4 linked regions of the Caenorhabditis elegans genome follow. The protein of the gene in region 3 purifies or fractionates together with the protein of the main gene of each other region. This does not show direct contact. Each region holds a gene or a part of one and is shown on either strand. Other genes may lie near its edges.

Region 1 (4,224 bases), on a different chromosome or scaffold from region 3:
AGGCTGTAGGCCTGCGACGCGGTTGTTATTTACTCAAACCTAACAACCAGGTTTGAGGGCCGCAGGCCCGAATACTCTTAAAAAATTGTGGGCTGGCTTTAATCCTATTCCAAGCAGAGCAGGCCGTATTCATGAGTTTTCCTTTTCCTTCACCGTTTTTTGTAGTTCACAGTGATGATTGAAAACACGCTTATTTTATTGAATACATTCAAATTATTCTTGAACAAAATCTCAGCCTAAGTTATTCGTACAGTGTCGGTCCTGGAGCAATGAATCAAAGTTTAAAGAGATTTCACTTTACACAGTAAGAGCTTCGAGGCGAAGCCTCAAACCTGAATAGTCAAGTTTTCTAAACATATACCCACTCCTAAAATAATTTCAAAGAGATCTCGAATATCCCGTTAACAGGTTCGAGGCGAAGCCGAGAACCTGCGCCAGCTACCTTGCTAATAACTTAGAGCGAATTAACCCTATCCCCATTCCCGAAGGGCTGGCGGGCCCATAGGCCCGCTAGTCGACAAATTAAGCAAATCGGCAGATTGCCGGTGTGCCGGAAATTTTCAATTCCGGCTGTATGCCAGTCTACCGATTTTCCGGACAATTTCATTTTCGGCAAAATGCCGATTAGCCGTTTGCCGGACATCAATTTACCGGAAGTGGCCAAAGGGATTTTTGAAATAAAAACAGATGTAGGAACATTCATAGGATGCCTACAATTTTCCCGATTAAAATTGAAATTTAAAAATTTCCAAGAAAAAATTTCGGGAATTTGCCGATTTGTCAAAAAAAAACCCCACCCCTTACTCAAATTTTTGCAATAGAATTATTTCAAATGTATAATGTTTTTATTGTCTATACTTCTGAGTGAATCGGAAACTAAACTCTTATTAGCTGTTTTTTCTTTCTCTTAATCCTGCGTCTCATTGTTCATGAATTGTGGATATTTTTATTTATAAACATTCTTGGTATACTTTTTTCATTGATTTTGAATAATAGTTGAACATAAAAAAACTGCTCAATTAAAGTACCAAAGTAACATTCATACGCTCCGAAGAACATGCACCTATGCACTTTGGACTTTATAGTGACTACACTGTTGCCATGTGGTCATTTACCTGCGTTACACCATCTGCGTCTCGCACTCTCTTACCACAACACTCTGCCAACACAACAAAGTGCCACACCTGACGACAGTCTGCGGACCATCGATCCCCCCCCCCCCCCCCCCTCCCCATATCTCGCATTCATTTCTCTTGAGTACACCACCCCATTTTCGCAGTTCTCTGGTTCTTTCTGTTTGATCTCTATTAATCTCATATTCTTCTAAATCATTGGCAGTTTTTCCCAAAACAGTATCAAAAGCGTGCCATCCTTATCACCTCCGTGACTTTCTTATCCATACCCAACAACAAGTAGTCTCCGCCCAAGCGGGCCAATTCTCCATCTCTCTCTCTCTCTCTTTACCTTCACAAAACATTTTTCTCTTGATGATAGCAGCAGACGCCACATACACCGTGTGTGTTCCAATTTTTTGTTGTTGTCTTTTCCTCAATTACTAGGATTATCGATTTTTCATAGCAAACTCTCAATAAAGTTTTTTTCAGAAAATGCTCTCCAGAAACTTGACGAAATGCACGCGTCTGTTCAGCACCACAAACAAGGCCATGTCAACCGGCATGGACTTCCAGTTGACCGCTGACCAAGCAGAGTTCCGTGCAAATGTTCGCAAGTTTGTTGCCGATGAGGTCATCCCAGTTGCCGGCGAATACGACAAAACCATGGAGTACCCGTGGGAGATCATCAAGAAGGCTCATGCACAGGGATATCTGATCGCCGACATTCCAGAAGCTTATGGAGGACTTGGAGTTGATATGGTCTCGAATTGTATCATCAGTGAGGAGATGGCATATGGATGCTCGGGTATTGCTACCGCTATCATGGCTAATGATCTTGCACTGACCCCGCTCATTTTATGTGCCAATGATGATATCAAGAAGAGATTCCTTGGTAGAATGATCGACAATCCGTTTGTGGCGGTAAGTATTTTCGAAATATACTTGAGTTCTTACGGTAAATAACACCTAATCAATTTTGTTTTAGTCCTACGCCGTCACCGAGCCAGGAGCTGGATCCGACGTCGCCGGAGTCAAAACCAAGTGTGAGAAGAAGGGTGATGAGTATATTCTCAACGGCTCAAAGATGTGGATCACAAACGCCGGACATGCTAACTGGTGAGTGAGTTCCACGTGGTGAGGATCTACGTCATTGTAAAGTCGGGCAGACTACAATGATTGGTCGACTACACAAAACTTGGACTTTGTACCGCTAGACGTGGAAATGAGAGAGAGAGAGAGAGAAATGGAATAGAGAAAGAAAGAATGCGACAGGAAGATGAAGAACCCTCGTTTTTCTTATCAAAACGTGTACTTATAATCAACAGGTCAAAGTGCAATGATTCTAGGAGACGCGAGAAAAAAGGTCTACCGTAGATATTGTTATGGGCCACTGTAAATCCATAAATATGCTGAATGGAGCATTCTGGAAAAATCTATCTGAAAATAAAATATTTTGTCGCTAAAAAATTCACAACATTCCTACGCTCTTTTTTCAGGTTCTTCGTGCTTGCCCGTTCCGACCCAGACCCAAAGACCGCAGCAGGAAAAGCCTTCACCGCATTTGTCGTTGAAGGGGACACCCCAGGACTCACCAGAGGACGCAAGGAGATCAACATGGGACAACGATGTTCAGACACCCGTGGTATTACCTTCGAAGACGTCCGTGTTCCAGCCGCCAACGTCGTCGGAGCCCCAGGAGAGGGATTCAAGGTCGCCATGAAGACATTCGACAAAACCCGGCCAACTGTTGCAGCACTTGCCACCGGAGTTGCTTACCGCTGCTTGGACGTCGCCACACAGTATTCTCTGGAGAGAAAAGCGTTTGGAACGCAAATTGCCAACCATCAAGGAGTGTCGTTCTTGCTTGCCGAGATGGCCATCAATTGTGAGCTCGCTAGATTGATGACCTACAAGAGTGGTGCAGAGGTAGGTCAAGCAGAATCAAATCAAGCTTTTTGAAGGATAAAATGTTTATGTTAAAATGGGAGGCGCCCCGTAAATTTACAAGTCCGCAAACACCATGACGCATTTGATGCAGCAGGCAGAACATCACAGTGATGTACATAGGAATATGAGCATAAAATCGGTACTATTATAGGAAATTACAAAACGCTATACGAACTTCAAATGCTGATTAAACTTAGAAAAGATTGGTCAGCACGCTAATTGCCAGCCATTTTCTGCAGAAACACACTCAAACTATCATAATTTCCCTCACTCTTCCAGGTTGACGCTGGCCGCCCAGGATCCTACTACGCTTCGATCGCCAAGCTCTTCGCTTCCGACACTGCCAACCAAGCCGCCACAAATGCTGTGCAAATCTTTGGAGGAGCTGGTTTCAACACTGAATACCCAGCGGAGAAGCTGATGCGTGACGCCAAGATCTTCCAAATCTACGAGGGAACTTCGCAAATTCAACGCATGGTCATTGCTCGTCAGTTGCTCGCTCGAGTCGCTCAGAATGGAGGATATTAGCACGCCACCCGTTTTTCCCCGTTTGATCACAGTTTTGTACAAAACACTGGTATATTTTGTAATTGTAAATGATTTGAAAAAAAAAGAAACAGTTTTGATTTACTTGCTTTTTTTATTTACTTTTCGCACTTTACGGTTTGTCACCGTGTTACATATTTTTGTATTGTTTTTTGGTTGTTTTTTTTTAATTCTCAGGTTTTAATTCAAAAGTTGCAGGTTAAATATGCTTTCCCGAATTGCAACATCATCGCTGGGGCTTTCCCGCTCTGCAACCGGAGTCATTGCCACTCAATCTCGTCAAATTTCTTTTGGTAAGTTGAATATACTTTTGGCAACTTATCCAAAGTAATCTAGATTTTAGTAGCTCTTGAGAATAGACAGAGCAAAACTAAATAACTGTACGAAACTTAATTTGACAATTTTCAGACCTCAGCGAAACCCAAAAGGAGATTCAAGACGCCGCTCTCAAGTTCTCCAAGGATGTTCTCGTCCCAAATGCAGCCAAGTTTGACGAGAGCGGAGAGTTTCCATGGGAAATTGTCCGACAGGCTCATAGCCTTGGACTCATGAACCCACAGATTCCGGAGAAGTATGGTGGCCCAGGAATGACCACTCTTGAGACTGCCCTCATTGT
Region 2 (4,572 bases), on a different chromosome or scaffold from region 3:
AATTCCAGATCCACGTGGACGGACATCACATCGGACATTATCATCATCATAAATGCCCAAAACGAATCGTTGCAATGACTGTTCGAGGAGATCTTCGAGTTGGAAAAATTCATTTCGAAAACTTCAAACATCATAACGGAGGAGGTTGGTTTTTATCTTAATATTCTGGGGATTTTTTTTTGTTTTTTGATTTCCAATCTTAATAATTCTAGGTACTGAAATCGGTGTAATGCAAATGCCTGTTGCTCCAACTCCGATCGTTGTTGCTCAACCACCGCCTCCAATGATTGTTCCCCAACCACAGATTGTTCCGGTTGTTCAGCAAATTATGCAACCAATGGTTCAACCCATATATCCAAGTGTTCAACCAATCGTGTATCCAACTGCTACTCCAATCATCTATACTCAACCTGAAGTTATCTACATGGACGGTTATCATCACCACCGTCACCATCACTATTGAAATTTGTACTTATTGTGAAAATGAATGAATAAATGAACATGACAAATTGATAGGGACGCACCGTTCATCTAATGTTCATAACTGAGACATGAATATTGAGCACTGCAGAAAAAGTTTGATGACAGAAACAAAAAAAAAAGTACATAGTACTACTGAATTTGAGTTGGTCAAGAGTCAAGAATGATTAAGGCTTTCAAGAATAAATGAATAAATGAAGAAAAAACAATATAACGAGCTAAAATGTGATGGGAACGGAAACAAGAGTTATGGAGGAGAAACAAGAAATAATATGAAGGGATGAGGAAGATTTAGAGAAGATATTACTTGGACTAGAAGATCATTTCTTATTTTTAACCATTTGAACGAGATACTTGAAACGACGAATGCAGGCTTTTTTGGACTTTGTGCCAACTTCTGTTGAGATCTTTTCCCACCGCTCGGGATCACTTGACTTATGCTTCTTGATAGCGTCCTCTAAAGTTTTCTGTTCGGTTGCTGACCAGACATCCTCATCTGGTAGCGCAGTTCCTAGCTGATTTTGAGTAGTTGATGGTAGCTTGACGTTCATCGTTTGAACAGCTTTGCATTGCTTGATAACCTGTTTTTCAGTTTTTGGTGGTAAACCCGTAGAATCCTTGCGATGCTCGTTAATGTAATCGGCAATTTGAACCCATCTCTCCACGGTTCCAGGTGGGAATGTGTTTGAAGCCTTTAAAAATATGAAAATTAATTAATGATTTCCAATCGTTTATGTCTTACCTTAACCAATAATTGAATCTCTTCACTAGTCCATGTCTCCTTGTCGGCTTGCTTTTCATTTTCTTTGTTCTTATCCTCAGTGATTGTGACCTTTGCTCCAGCAGCTTCTTTCTTCAGAATTTCAGCATCTGTTAGCGCAGTTTGAATTTCAGAAGCAATTGAAAGTGATTCGACCTTCTCGCACAGCTCTCTGAGTTGATCAACAGTGAACCCAATGCAAATCCGCTCAATTCTTTCCATTTCAGTGAGCTTATCGCGAGGATTCTCCGTCCAGTGGCCAGCTTCATCAGCGAGTTTCTTCAGACGCTTACGCTGCTGAGACATAGCTTTCTTGGCAATATCACGCTCTTTCTTTTCTCTCTCCTGAAAATAATAGTTAGTATTTAAAAATCGACAATATTCTGGTGTATTGTGCTCACTCTTTCTTCCTTTGCTTTTCTGTCAGCTTCCTCTTTCTGCTTAGCTTCGGCTTCTTCCTTTTCACGCTTCTCACGGTCGATAGCTTCTTGCTTTTCACGGATGGCTCTTTGCTTATCTTCCTTTGCTTTATCTTTTTTCTAAAATTTAAAATTGAAAATCCGGCAAAGTTTAGGCAAAGTTTATAGACTTACCGCTTGCTGTTCCTTCTTGAACTTGATAATTCTAGGATCCTTAGCATAAGCTATATCAACCAACTTTCTAATTCTCTTCGCCTCTTCTTTCCGCCGTCTTTCTCTTTCTGCCTTATTCTGTTTCTCCATCTCTCGTCTTTCGTACCGATCTTCTCCTCTTTCCTTGTCTTCTTCGTCCAAATACGAGAACTCGCGCCATGACTGGAAGTTAAACCAAAAATCGTAGAAATTCTCGACATCCTCCCGGGTCGCATCTGATTTACCAAGTTCTGGCACTGGCTTGATATTGGACCATCTGGAGTTTAATTGGAAAACTGGAGCAAGTTCGTTATAAAAGTTATTATGGTTGATTGATTTCTCATTTGGAATAATATCGTTGAATTTATGATCGACCGAATCGAAAGCTTGACGTTTGACGTCAGACATTCCAACTTGTTCATAAGCTTTTGTGATACAAGTAAAGTATTCTTCCTTCTCCATAACAATTCCACGATGCTTCTTCTTGTCCGGGTGATGCTTCAAAACCTTTTGACGATCTGAAATAATTCTCTTCAAAAAATTCTCACTTCATTTTAACTTACAACAGAAACGAATTTCGTCAGATGTAGCTTGCCATCTGAGCTTCGACAATCCTAAAACTTTGTAGTGATCCTGATTTTTGCAGTCATTTGGATCCAGCTTCATCAAGTACTTTTCATATTTTTCATTATCAGCATCAAAAAGATCTTTTCTCAATTCAGCTGGCTCTTCAGACGACTTTTTTCTTTGCTGTTCCGTAACAGGCTTTGCAACAGGAGAGTTTTTATAGATTGGAAGCGTACAGTGGCCCAGTGTGAGTTTATCTCGAATAAGGCGAGTCTGAAAATGTCAGTTAAGAAATATTTGCGGACATAGGTGATAGTAAACTCACTTCATAGCATATTCCGGCTGGCTCAAAAGCTCTGCTTCGAGCTGTGAATCCATAAATTGCAACTTGTAAATTGCCCGTAGTCATCTATAATTATTAAATTATTTTGAGCCTACTTTAGTCCTAAAACGAAATAAAAGAACATAATCAGCCTAGAAATTTCTGTTTTCTTTTTAAATCGCGTGACCACAGTTGTTCATAAAAGATTTTCAGCAACGAAAGAGAAGAAAAAGGGACATAATCTGAGAAATAAAGCTGAAAAACTACTGAAAATAATTGCGGGGGATTTACGAAAGAAGAAATCGTGCCATGGTTGCAAAATGTCGAGTGCGGCGCGGTTTTAACCGAGTCACAACATAAATTATGGAGACGGAGACACAATGCAAACGCGCTTCGCTGGTCTTTTTTGTTTTTTTTTCTTGTAACTTAAAATGGAAACCTGGAGTGATTTGGATTCATTTTAATTGTTTTTCAGCTTTGTAAGCTCCGCTTTGTACGCGATTGTATGAAATAAAACATGTTATAATTTCAAGTTATATCCAAAATAAGGTTTTCAGATGTCAGAGTCATCGTCAAACTTGAATCCAGATGGAACTGAGTTTCCAGACCCTAATGACGTGCCACCACCATCGGAAGATCAATTGACTGAAGAGGTATGCTGAAATATTACATTTGTAAAAATTATTAACAATCTCCATGTTCAGGATCTATTCCGGATGCGTTCTCTGACAATCAATTCGAAAAAAGGACGTAAGTTTTTTTTCATCGCTTGAAGTTGTTTGGAAAGATAATTATTTTTAAAATATTTAATATTTTTTTAGTTTCAGTTGTTGGTGGTGCAAGTGAGACAGCCGAGCAGTCCATCATATCACTCGCAGATTCGACTTCAAATTTTGATGAGCATGTTGGAGATGATGCCGAGTTGGATTATGAGCTGGAACAAGCTCCTGAAGCAACAGAAGATGGTGCAGTGGTGAACAATCCTGTTTGTGGAGGGTACCATTTCGGAAGGAAAAGAGCAGATGACTTCGTCCCAAATGCCAATACAGGTTTCTTAAAACTCCAGTTCGATGTAACACTGATATCTATATTCTATAATTACAGTAACAGTGCTCAAATGGCCTACAAATCTGGCGATTCCTCCACGCAACCCCGTGCTGAGCGATTCTGATGAAGAATGGAAGAAAGCGATTCTCGACTCCACCATTTATCTCATCGGTACAGCTCACTTTTCAAAAGAGTCGCAGGAAGACGTATCCAACACAATTCGTGCTGTGCAACCTGATTTTGTCATGCTTGAGCTGTGTCCATCACGAATTTCAATCATATCGATGGATGAGGCTCGGCTTTTGAGCGAAGCGAAAGATCTCAACTCTCAAAAAATTATTCAGACCATGAAACAAGTGAGTTCTCATATTTTTGTTGTTGTAATGTTGTAATATTTTCAACTTTTTTAAGAACGGCGCGATTCAAGGAATTCTGCACGTTCTTCTCCTGTCAATGTCAGCGCATGTAACACGTGAACTTTCCATGGCTCCCGGAGGAGAATTCCGTGCTGCTCATCGTGCAGCAGTTGCAACTGAGGTTTGAGTATTTAAAAAGTTTTATTTACAAAGTAACTATTTCAGAATTGTCGTGTAGTTCTCGGTGATCGTCCTATTCAAGTTACACTTCAACGTGCACTGGCTTCTCTCTCCATCTGGCAAAAAATTCGCTTCTTCTTCCACGTTGCATTTTCACATCGTGAGAAGATAACTGCAGAAGAGGTATTTAATTATTCAACCTTTTCCAAAAATATTCCAAAATTATAGGTGGAACGATGCAAGCAACGT
Region 3 (6,421 bases):
ATTTATAGATAAGAGTAACAAAATTTAAAACTGTTAAAAATTTATAGAATTCTTCTAAATTTTTCAATAAAAAGTTGCACGTTTTTTTGTTGCAAGACTGAAAAAACCCATTTTTAAGGAGTTAGAAAAATACTGTAAATTTTCTAACAGTTATATTCGGTATATTGAGACATTTTCTGTCATTTTGGGAAAAAGCCCCGCTGGCGCATTTTTTTCGGCAAAAATTGGATTTTTTTATGTTCCAATTTTTGTTCTAGTGAAAAAATCAATAGAACTCACTTTCTTCGATGGAGGCAAAATTGGTGGTTTTCCCTGCTTTGGTTGCCGTCGTCCCATTTGTCTCTTCTGTACTCCGAATACTTCGTCCATTTGTGACATGGCAGATGCCAAAAGACATCGTCCCGTTGAAGAAATTGATAAACGAGAACTGTTTATCAACATTCTGAAAATATTTTTAAATGAAAAATAATTGGGAAAACTTTAAAATCTCTATAAAAATATGTTTTAGTATGAAAACTAATAACTATAATTCAAAATTACAAAAAAACAACAGAATAAAACAAGCTCTTTAATTCGGAAAATTAACGGAAACTTAAAAACTGAATTTTTAAACAATTAATATCGAATTAAAAGGAGCAACAATCGAATCGCGATAGATACCGGAGCAAAAAAGAATCTTCAAATTAATGAACCGGAAAATGGGCAACAGGAAATGGGAAAACCAACGGAAAAAATTCTAGGAATGATTGGGAAATTCAATAGGGGCGCAAAAGTGAATAACACATCAACAATTAGGATTAAAACAGGAAAATAATAATTATAAAAGCGAAAAACTAGGCACTACATTCTCATGTAATAGCTCTCTCCATTTGGATTCTGGATCGGGGTGCTCACAGATTCGCCATTGGTTTTCTGGAAAAAACTCAACTATAATCTTAATAAGTTATCAAAAACTGTTACCTTTTTTTCAACATGCCATTCGTACCACACACCAGTATTGTCAACTTTTCGATCGATTTTCAGAGAAATTCTGTCACCTTCTCCAACTCTCAATTGATCTCTAAGTGGAATAACAGCTGGGAACCAACTGACCATTCCAGGTGTATGAGTTGATGGTTCAATTGAAAGCATCACGGTTTTGTAGAGTTGAAGATCAAAGTAGCCGGCGAATCCCATCAGCTGAAATAAATTAGGTTCTAACTTATTTGATTTTTAATTTAATAAACACATATTTTATCAATAAAATTTTTCAATTCATTGTTTTATTTTCAAAGGTGGACTGTCATTTGTGCGAATTTTGCATTTAATATAAGCAAATTACCTCAAATAATCAACGAAAAAATATTTTTAAATTTTCTTAAGAATTTCTAAGTTTTTTTTTTTTTTTTTGCTGAAAAACTTACATCTGCATTTCTATCCATAACAAATTCAATAGAATCGCTTCTCTCATTGCTTGAATTCATGAAATTTGGATGTTCAAATGTGAATACTGGTTTGGTGGTTTCGGCAAGTGGAATGTATTTTGAAAGATATACAACGTAGATTTGATCCATATTGTTACGAACATGTCCTTGTCTGAAAGAAAATGTTTATTAAAATTTAAAAAAAAAGTTTTTATGCTTTTTTTTTAATTAAAAATTATTCTAAAATAAGAGTAAATTGAAGCATAACTTGTGGAGCGGATACTCCCGTCAAGAAAAGATGGCCTAGAAACCTCCGTGTACTCGGCCAGGGCCTTTATGTACACAAGAGTAGAAAACTTCAGAAATATTTATTACCACAACATGAATTTTAGCGATACTTTTTCTAATATTACGGTACCCGGTATCTACACGATAAATATTCGTTAATACGAAACTTTTTGTACCTTTGAAGAGTACTGTAATTTCAATATCCCATGATTTTTCATAGTTTTTTAAATAAAAATCAATATCAATTTATCAAAACTAAACTAAAATAATAAAATGCCAACCAAAAAAAACTATAAAAAATTAATAAAAACTCTGCAGCAACAAGTCTTAGATTACAGTATAGTTTAAAGGTGCACACGTTTTCGCATATAACAAAGATTTTTGTTTGAATTTTTTTTTTAATTTTAAAAATTTTGTCTAATCGAGACCGGGACTAGCAAAATTTGGCATCGGGGTAATAAGGCAGAATGTTTATATTTTTATAAAAAAATTGAAAAACAAACGGGTATTTTTGAATCCACATTTCGTCTTCATCCAATTCCGGTTCACCTCTACCATGCGATGGAATTGCACGACTCAAATAAGGAATACTTTGAGCTTTAATTGTTTGATGAATATGAGTACTCATTATTGGCTTCACATAGCTAGTGTACTTCTGTGGAATTGAAATTGTTGTTGGCTTCAAAAATCCAGTGACACCATCTAGACATTCAGGACTCAACTCGTTATCTCCAAAACTTCCAAGAAGTTCCGAAACAATTATGTCAGGTTGTTCGAATCCACGATCTTTCGCAATTCCCGGCAGACTTCGCATATCACTTTCAATAATCGTTACTCGTCGTTTCCATGTTCTCACATTCATATATTTCAGAGTGACGATTGCATTTGGATTCTTTTCAACAATATAAAGCTTCACTTTGAGACTTTCTTGGCCTTGTCGGAATGTGTTGTTGTATTCTCTTTCAGATTTCAGAATTTTCGTTCCCTGAAAAAAATTGAAATTTATAATATTTAAAACTATGGAGACGCATAAAAATGCCCGTTTTGATATTCATTTAGACCGAAAAACTGTAAATTGAAAAATGTTGCAGTTCGCTTCAGACAATTGGCAAAATTAACTGCAAAATGTTTGAATTTCCGGCTTGTCGCCAACTTCCAAACGAGACCCATGGTCAGGGGGTGGAGTGTTTTCAATTGGCCACAAAATATGTTTTCATGTCGAATTAAAAGGGACTTTTTCTACTTAATAGCCAAAAACTCACAATAGGACCACGTCCTCCTCCCAACAAGTAAATGACAACAGTTTTTCTTCCGTCAGCTCCAAGATCTTTTAATGCTCCAACTACAGCTTCTCCATACACGTCGTATTTAATTTGATCCTGCTCGAATGTATTATAAACTCCTGAATCCAAATTTTCAGACAATGGTTGAAGAGGTGCTTGCAAAACATCTTTGTATTCGATAACATTAAGATAATGAGTGGAGTCATTCGATCCTTCTCCAACATCAGGACGACTTCGGTAATTAACATTTCGAACTGCATGACGAAGAGCTTGAGAATACTCGGATTTGATAGAAGTATTGTACTTGAATGTATCCGTTGTGGCACGAAGAACGATCCGAAGTGCATCAGTTGTCCATAGATGTTTTAATAAATTTATGTGGGCACTGAAAAATTAGTATTTATTTGAAAATGTAATCTTGAAATTTACCTTGGAATTGATGCTTCTCCATTTCTTCCAGAAATAAAAAGACCCGATTCGATAACAAAAGCTGCTAGGGGCTCGGCCTTCCAACGGTCCACAAGTTTAAGCTCAGTAAGCTCATCGGGAAGTTCCGAAGAGATCGTCAAAGCCACTTGGAAATAAACACCACTGAAATTACCACAATTCTTCCGGAAATCGGCCCAAATTGTCCATAAATCAACATGTTCTATTGTGAAAGCGTCATAATCTTTGCACTTTTCAATTGCAGACGGAAGTTGAACCCAAACACTGAAAATAAATATAAACTTTGCTTTTTTAAAAAATATTTTACTGAAAAAAAGGAGCTATTTCATATTGCATTTTACTTACGTAAAACGCGAATTTCTAGTCCAAATCCATTTTTTCAAAATGGCAGCAGTACGAGGCGACGAGATGCGTGTGAGCTCGATTGCCATCGTTTGAAGACCCAAATAACAAATGTAGCTGAGCTCTTTCAGAAGATGTTCCTCGGAAAGCGAGGCAAAGGCTGGATCAGAAGAGTCACAGTCGATCCATGGAGAAATCTTGAAAAAAATGACAATTTCAGGTTTTAATTTAAGAATAAAGGGCTTGTTCTTCGAAAAAGTAATTAAAATTAAAAAAAAAACCCCCCATACTTTTCCTACAACATAGCTTTCCCAGAGATCATTTCTCAGCTGAACATCGGGCAAATCAATAACAGGTGGATGATTCTCCGCGCTGAAAATTAGTAGTCTAGTTGAAGTTGGGTAAGATAGTCGATGTGAACCTTCCATTAGGCGTCCAGAATGCGCGAACGACCCCTCCAATCGGGTAGACGACAAAGTTATACTTGAACTCTCCCAGTCGTGTACAGAAAGTAGCAACATGACGGTCTAGATTCTCGGCAACGTCCAAGGTTGTGGCCATCCATCCGATGTGTATTCTAGAGTTCGCTGCCTCAACAGAGCTTATACTTCTGCTGGGAGAATTACTTTTGGGCGAAGAACCAGAAGACATCTGTTCCTCATGCTGCTCCGCGACCTGTTGTGGAAACAGATTATCGGCATACGTTCTGTTACTCATTCGTTTAACCTGAAATTTGACGATCAACAAACTCGCAGTTTTATCATCGGCTTTCTGTTTATTTCTGATAAAAATATACTAGAAGTCAAATGAACTTGGGGTGTGAAAAAAATAATGTTTTTGCTTTATTTTTGTTGCCTTTTAGGGCATTTGGGTTGGTAGTTGAATTCGAAGAAGGGAGAGTGAGAGATGGAAAACAACGTATTGGGAGTCACCAAATAGTGGTCTGACGGAAACAGCACTACCGCAACAATACAATAAACTATACATTAAATTTATCTCTACCAAAAAACATTGAAAAAAAGAAAAACGAAGTGTCGGCGTTATAACAAAAAAAATAAAACTAATTTCCGTGTTGCTTGGCGAGTTCTTCGGCCTTCTTGAACACATCATCGATTCCTCCTTGCATGTAGAAAGCAACTTCTGGAAGGTGGTCGAGTTCTCCTGAAAATTGATTTAATTTTAATGTTTTCAACGTTTAAATATTCTTACCCTTGAGAATCATGGTGAAACCGCGGATTGTCTCTTCGAGTGATACGAACTTTCCTTGATGTCCAGTGAACACCTCAGCGACTTGGAATGGTTGGGAAAGGAAACGTTGGATCTTGCGGGCACGTGAAACGGTAAGCTTGTCTTCCTCGGACAACTCATCCATACCAAGAATAGCAATAATATCTTGGAGGGACTTGTAATCTTGGAGGATCTTTTGAACTCCACGAGCAATGTCGTAGTGGTTCTGTCCGACAACGTTGGGGTCCATGATACGGGAGGTGGAGTCAAGTGGATCGACAGCTGGGTAGATAGCCAATTCGGCAATACCACGGGACAAGACAGTGGTGGCGTCCAAGTGAGCGAATGTGGTAGCTGGAGCTGGATCAGTCAAATCGTCAGCAGGTACGTAAATAGCCTGGACGGATGTGATGGATCCCTTCTTGGTGGTGGTAATTCTCTCTTGCATACTTCCCATGTCAGTGGCAAGGGTTGGTTGGTATCCGACAGCGGATGGGATACGTCCGAGAAGAGCGGACACTTCAGATCCAGCCTGGGTGAAACGGAAAATGTTGTCAATGAAAAGAAGCACATCTTGTCCTTCCTGGTCACGGAAGTACTCGGCGACAGTGAGACCGGTGAGGCACACACGAGCACGGGCACCTGGTGGCTCGTTCATTTGTCCGTATACGAGAGATACCTTGGAGTTCTTTCCCTATAAATTGTTTATTTAAATACCATGAACCATTTTTTCCTACTAACCTTGAGATCAATGACTCCTCCTTCAATCATTTCGTGGTAGAGATCGTTTCCTTCACGGGTACGCTCTCCGACTCCAGCGAACACAGAGTAACCTCCGTGAGCCTTGGCGACGTTGTTAATGAGCTCCATGATAAGCACAGTCTTTCCGACTCCAGCTCCTCCGAAAAGTCCAATCTTTCCTCCCTTGGCGTATGGGGCAAGAAGATCGACGACCTTGATTCCGGTAACAAGAATCTCCTGCTCGACGGACATTTCGACGAATTCTGGAGCTTCAGCGTGGATAGCAGCGAAGTTCTTGGATGCAATTGGACCTCTCTCGTCAATTGGCTCTCCAATGACGTTCATGATACGGCCAAGAGTTTCTGGTCCGACTGGGATCTTAATCGGATCTCCGGTGTCAGCAACTGGCTGTCCACGGACAAGTCCTTCAGTTCCGTCCATAGCAATACATCTGACGACATTGTCTCCGAGATGTTGAGAGACCTCAAGAATGAGTCTTGGGGAACGTCCGACTACCTCGAGACCGTTGAGGATTGGTGGAAGGTTCTCATCGAACTGGACGTCGACGACGGCTCCGATGACAGCGACAATGCGTCCGGAAGCGTTAGCAGCTGTAGCCTTGGCAGAGACCTTAAAACCAGAATTGAATTGAATTTATCTGACTAAAAAAAATACAAACCTTGGTGGCAG
Region 4 (4,661 bases), on a different chromosome or scaffold from region 3:
GAAAATTCAATGTTTGTACTTCTCAGAAAATCAATCATCAACACGTTGAGCATTTTCTTCTGATAAGCTTGTTTCTGAAATTTGGATTTTTTATAAATACCTAGGAAACTCTAAAACTGACCTCTTCATTGCTGATGTTCTCCATTTAGTTTTATTATTTAGGTAAATTAATTGCATAAAAAAATAAAGTTGACAATCAATATGGTAAGAAACTCGCTCAACGCAGGGTCAGCAGCGACGCAGACAACGAGACAAAGGCAGTGTAGGCAGCGAAACGACGGCAGAGATGTGTTTTGTGAGAATATAGGAGAATGAGGACGTAAGGAGAAAAAAAATCGTTGAGTGAACGATGAACGCTCTTATTAAATTAAAAAAAAAGAAACTAAAAATTAATGTAGAGAATTCAGTTCGAATTACCGCCGTAGCCCAATAGAGCGAGTTTGCGGACCTCTCAAGAAAAAGTTTTTACCTTAAAAGATTAGTGTGTCAATTTCAATTTTAAGTTTTCCCGTGTTTCTTTGGATCTTATTCCTGCTTGCGCATGTTTACATAAATTAAATGTACTCTGATTCCCGTTTTACAATGCAATTTGTTCTCTGAACCTCCAATTTTCTCATCATATTCGACGCTTTCAATCCTGAGCGAAAACAAAACACCTCGAGAAGATCGAATTGTCATCGTTTCTTGTAAAATTTTGAAAAAAGGTGACAAAACCTCCGGCATTTTTTGTTTGCGTCGTAGCCTAAAAGTAACAAGAGTGCAGGGGAGAAAAAAAAGTAATTCAATGCCAAACACCACTTTGTTTTTTGTTCATTCGTCGGCATTCGTCGGCACTCGTTCTAAAAGAACAGAAACTTATTTTCTCCTATCATTGCGTTCAATTTTTGAATTCAGGAAATACTTGAATCCTTATCCTTGAAATATTTTGAAATTTTTCTTTTCGAAAACCTATTGAGGTCAATTTTCTAGAAAGATAACATCTCACAGAACTCCGAGTGTGGTCTACAAGATAGTCACAAATTTCCCCCAATCTCTTATTCACTGCAGAAATCTGTCTCCGTCTCTTTGCTTATCTGGTTTCCTCGTTTTTCTTTTTTCTGTGCACTTTCCGTCAACCAGTTCAGTTTTTCTAACTGTACCCAATTATTGTTATAATAATAATTACACGGCCTATAAACAAAACAAATCGCCTCCACTAGTCAATATATAAATAAGCGATGGAAGTTGAGTGGAGTAGGCCACAAAATAATGATGATGACATTGATTGTTTGTCCAAAAATGAAGTAAAGAGCGGGAGGCGCCTCCTCACAAAAAACTAATCAAAGTCGTCTCTCACGTTTTTACAACTTTCCCCGAATTATCCAAAAACGTTCACATCAAATTTATAAATTCTGAGTAATGAAAAAATCCTTTCTGGCATCACTTTTTTCGAAACATTATCATCATTGTTTCATTGATGTTTCCCGAAATTGAACCATTTTGATCAAAATTTCACACATGAGAATTGTTTTCTGAAATAAATTGGTCATTTACGCCATAAGAGACTTTTAAAAATCAATTTTGTAACCGCAATCTATATTTTTCTTCTCTCCGTCACTCTTAAAATCCTTTTTTTTAATTTTCAATGGCTTTTTCCAGAAATTAAAATGGCCGAAGCTGATATTGCCGTCATCGGATTGGCCGTTATGGGTCAAAATCTTATTCTGAACATGAATGATCACGGATTCACTGTTTGCGCCTTCAACAGAACTGTCAAATTGGTCGACGATTTTCTTGCCAATGAAGCTAAAGGAACTAAGATTATTGGAGCTCATTCAATTGAGGAAATGTGCAAGAAATTGAAAAGACCACGTCGTGTCATGATGCTCATTAAAGCCGGAACTCCTGTCGATATGATGATCGATGCAATTGTTCCGCATCTTGAGGAAGGTGATATTATCATTGATGGAGGAAATTCTGAATACACTGATTCAAACGTAAGTTTTTGTTTTTTTCTAAATATTTATTTATTTTATTCATTAGACTTTTCTCTCTAAAAATAAAATAAATATGTAATATAGTGAATCGATTGTGAACTGACAAACAACAATTATTTTCAGAGACGCTCCGAGCAACTCGCCGCAAAGGGGATCATGTTCGTCGGCTGTGGAGTTTCCGGAGGAGAAGAAGGTATGAATTTGTATTTTGAATTGTTTGCAAAGAGTTGAGGTATACGGTAATTTATTTAAAAATACAATAACAGGGATTTAATGACCAGATTAAACCAAATGTTTGGAAATATGCTTTTTTAGATTAATATTAGTTCACTGGTCCACTTGCATCCACCGAGTTGGTTTTCATTGATATTTCTCTTTCCAGCGACTTTTGTTGCTTGTAATGTTCAGGAACCGGCTTATTGATCACAGTTAGCCTAGAAAAATGATTAACCAGTAAATAGTGAACAATTAAAAGTAAGGTTAATTGGAAAAATGATTAAAAACCATTCCTATGATGCTAAAATGACCAAATATCAAAATAAAACTCTTCGCTAAATTAACATGAATATTTAAAACATAATTATAACATAAAACCAAAATAAATTTTTTGGTACACTACTTCCAAAAAAATTGGTGAAAACTGAGTTCGCACCGCTTTTTGACTCGAAATACAAAAATTTTACAAAATTTTTTGAATATATTTAATATTATTTTTGGTAATTTAAATACAATATTAATGGTTTTTAATCATTTTCCAATTAACCATACTCTATTGCTAGGTTTAAAAAAAGCTAACCAAAAAGTGGCAAAAACTGCCTTATGATCCGACGGTGTTGTTCCTCTCATACAATCGTACTGAATGTTTTGGAGCCATTCCGAGTTTCTTACCCAAAAGAGAACGCGGTCCTAAAATATTGAAGTCTTAGCAATGTTTGTAATCAGAAATTACTCACAGTAAAAGACGGAATCCTTTTTGGCACATAATTGTCTGTGTCTGGCTCGAATTTATGTGTTGGAGGGAATTTAATTGGAGCTTCCTTGAAATCTGTGAATGCTAATTGCTTTTTCCTATGACTGGCAAGCTCTTCTGTTTCAAAAACATCTCTAAATGTTTTCTCTGTAATCTTTTCCGGATCTCTCCAGTCTACATTGCTCTCTACAGTAACCCGGAAATTCAAATCTCCAATCCAAAGCACCACCTGAAAATGATTTATGGAGGAAGTGTCGCCCTTCAGAGGCGCTTACGTCAGAACCAAAAATTTCGTCTTTTGCATGTGCATGAAATCTGGCAAGCTGAGGAAAACGAAGAGTGCGGACCACTTTAGCGTAGTCTTGGATACGTTGTTGTGGTGTTGCATCTGTAAGAATATAACATTTTTGTGTTCTCATCATTAGTCTAACAATGTAAGGGACCACTCACGTGATAAATGACATCCGATAAGCACTATAAATCGCTGATATAAACGAAGACATACCGCGATTGCACCTTTCGTTCGAACTGGTTTTGCCATTGCACCAGATGCGATAAATGATACTTGTGGTTCTAGAAATTTTAAACTATTAGATTCTAGATTATAAGATCTGAACTCACGGATTGCATATCGAAGATGTTTCTGTCGAATGAAGACTATTACCATTTGACTCCAGGCTCTATGTGAAAGGTACAGACGATGACCATTGAGAACTGGCTCAAGAATTCGTAATGCTTCTTCATGAAAAGTTCTGAAACTGATTTTAGTTAATCGAAAATTAATAGTTTTCGGAACTAACGGTGCTGTGGAAGGTATTTCTTGCAATGAGATGAAAAATATATCACTATCCATTTCTTGTCCTCGTTCTGCTATTTTCTGAGCGAGATGGCTCAATATTTTCACACCTTTTTCGTTAATGTTCCATGTCACGGTACATACTTTCAGTTTTCTATCACCCATAGCTTCAATAACGTCGTAACTGACAATTGGAACATTCCCAAATCCTTTTACAGCAGGGCTAAATATCATATGTTCAATGAATGATGAAAAAAAAGTAATCACTTACGCAGTATTTTGCGTTTCAATGCAGTATGTCCAATTGCCGTCACTGATCTCGTTGACTGAAATGAAGTGTAATGGGTGTCAGAACAATAGGATTAAGTCGGGGAAGGATTAGAGGCTTACATGAGGCGCTGTTACGCCACGTGGCAGGTTGAGAGGAAGAACGGAGCCATGGAGGGTGTCGAGTAGGAGTTTGATGTGATTGCTTCTCACTTGAAGAATCTCCTGATTTTGGATCACCTCCAGATGCAGAGGGAGTGTTGGCATCTAAAAGAAATTGATACGTCCAAATAAATGTAGAATACTAGATTTCAACTCAAATGTTTCTCAGTCTTACCCATTTACTGTATGAATTAAATAACTTGGCTTATTGCTTCGTTTCAACCAACTAAGCTTCGAAATGCATATTGAAAATAGAGAACATAAATCCAATAGCGACGGACTCTATCAGAGGCTTCAAGTATAGGAACGGGAGGGAAGAGCGCGCACTTTTGTATGTCAGAAAGCCCGCGTTTTTCGTGTGCAATTCGCTCGTTTTTGTCCGATGATAAAATGACGAACAAGTATAACGGACGACTCTGGTGTTGGTGGTGCTATATAATGTTATGTAGATTTCGGTGTGCAAAGGGAAATGGGCAAGTGCAGAGATGAA

What was found.
Region 1: the proteins of prmt-5 (region 3) and acdh-7 fractionate together in Caenorhabditis elegans (co-fractionation; one large-scale study listed by BioGRID). This does not show direct contact.
Region 2: the proteins of prmt-5 (region 3) and dnj-11 fractionate together in Caenorhabditis elegans (co-fractionation; one large-scale study listed by BioGRID). This does not show direct contact.
Region 4: the proteins of prmt-5 (region 3) and T25B9.9 fractionate together in Caenorhabditis elegans (co-fractionation; one large-scale study listed by BioGRID). This does not show direct contact.

Annotation. Positions count from the first base shown.
Region 1 is NC_003284.9:17,214,486-17,218,709, reverse strand, and holds acdh-7 (Medium-chain specific acyl-CoA dehydrogenase, mitochondrial), read left to right. Parts: upstream 1-1,604; 5' UTR 1,605-1,607; coding exon 1,608-2,036; intron 2,037-2,100; coding exon 2,101-2,231; intron 2,232-2,611; coding exon 2,612-3,041; intron 3,042-3,341; coding exon 3,342-3,590; 3' UTR 3,591-3,692; downstream 3,693-4,224. Other genes in the region: acdh-10 (putative medium-chain specific acyl-CoA dehydrogenase 10, mitochondrial), read left to right, coding at 3,814-3,901, 4,017-4,224.
Region 2 is NC_003282.8:6,584,126-6,588,697, reverse strand, and holds dnj-11 (DnaJ homolog subfamily C member 2), read right to left. Parts: upstream 2,828-4,572; coding exon 2,744-2,827; intron 2,692-2,743; coding exon 2,415-2,691; intron 2,370-2,414; coding exon 1,834-2,369; intron 1,780-1,833; coding exon 1,642-1,779; intron 1,586-1,641; coding exon 1,223-1,585; intron 1,173-1,222; coding exon 801-1,172; 3' UTR 512-800; downstream 1-511. Other genes in the region: lec-11 (Galectin), read left to right, coding at 9-144, 213-463; F38A5.2 (TraB domain-containing protein), read left to right, coding at 3,298-3,393, 3,445-3,490, 3,562-3,789, 3,845-4,143, 4,199-4,324, 4,369-4,506, 4,552-4,572.
Region 3 is NC_003281.10:5,228,638-5,235,058, reverse strand, and holds prmt-5 (Protein arginine N-methyltransferase 5), read right to left. Parts: upstream 4,505-6,421; 5' UTR 4,481-4,504; coding exon 4,185-4,480; intron 4,136-4,184; coding exon 4,054-4,135; intron 3,961-4,053; coding exon 3,767-3,960; intron 3,686-3,766; coding exon 3,404-3,685; intron 3,360-3,403; coding exon 2,954-3,359; intron 2,677-2,953; coding exon 2,195-2,676; intron 1,576-2,194; coding exon 1,404-1,575; intron 1,180-1,403; coding exon 961-1,179; intron 913-960; coding exon 841-912; 3' UTR 552-840; downstream 1-551. Other genes in the region: mrps-26 (Small ribosomal subunit protein mS26), read right to left, coding at 280-441; atp-2 (ATP synthase subunit beta, mitochondrial), read right to left, coding at 4,824-4,924, 4,973-5,684, 5,732-6,361, 6,411-6,421. UniProt on the Caenorhabditis elegans protein: Catalyzes the symmetrical dimethylation of arginine residues in targets such as small nuclear ribonucleoproteins, histone H2A/H4 and cbp-1.
Region 4 is NC_003282.8:10,768,015-10,772,675, forward strand, and holds the start of T25B9.9 (6-phosphogluconate dehydrogenase, decarboxylating), read left to right. Parts: upstream 1-1,638; 5' UTR 1,639-1,646; coding exon 1,647-1,976; intron 1,977-2,099; coding exon 2,100-2,169; intron 2,170-2,203; exon of another isoform or gene 2,204-2,298; coding exon of another isoform or gene 2,299-2,410; intron 2,411-2,772; coding exon of another isoform or gene 2,773-2,882; intron 2,883-2,929; coding exon of another isoform or gene 2,930-3,175; intron 3,176-3,221; coding exon of another isoform or gene 3,222-3,334; intron 3,335-3,396; coding exon of another isoform or gene 3,397-3,519; intron 3,520-3,567; coding exon of another isoform or gene 3,568-3,698; intron 3,699-3,746; coding exon of another isoform or gene 3,747-3,965; intron 3,966-4,013; coding exon of another isoform or gene 4,014-4,068; intron 4,069-4,132; coding exon of another isoform or gene 4,133-4,276; intron 4,277-4,346; coding exon of another isoform or gene 4,347-4,350; exon of another isoform or gene 4,351-4,661. Other genes in the region: T25B9.8 (Lin-15A/B-like domain-containing protein), read right to left, coding at 1-74, 122-145; inpp-1 (Inositol polyphosphate-related phosphatase domain-containing protein), read right to left, coding at 2,299-2,410, 2,773-2,882, 2,930-3,175, 3,222-3,334, 3,397-3,519, 3,568-3,698, 3,747-3,965, 4,014-4,068 and 1 more. UniProt on the Caenorhabditis elegans protein: Catalyzes the oxidative decarboxylation of 6-phosphogluconate to ribulose 5-phosphate and CO(2), with concomitant reduction of NADP to NADPH.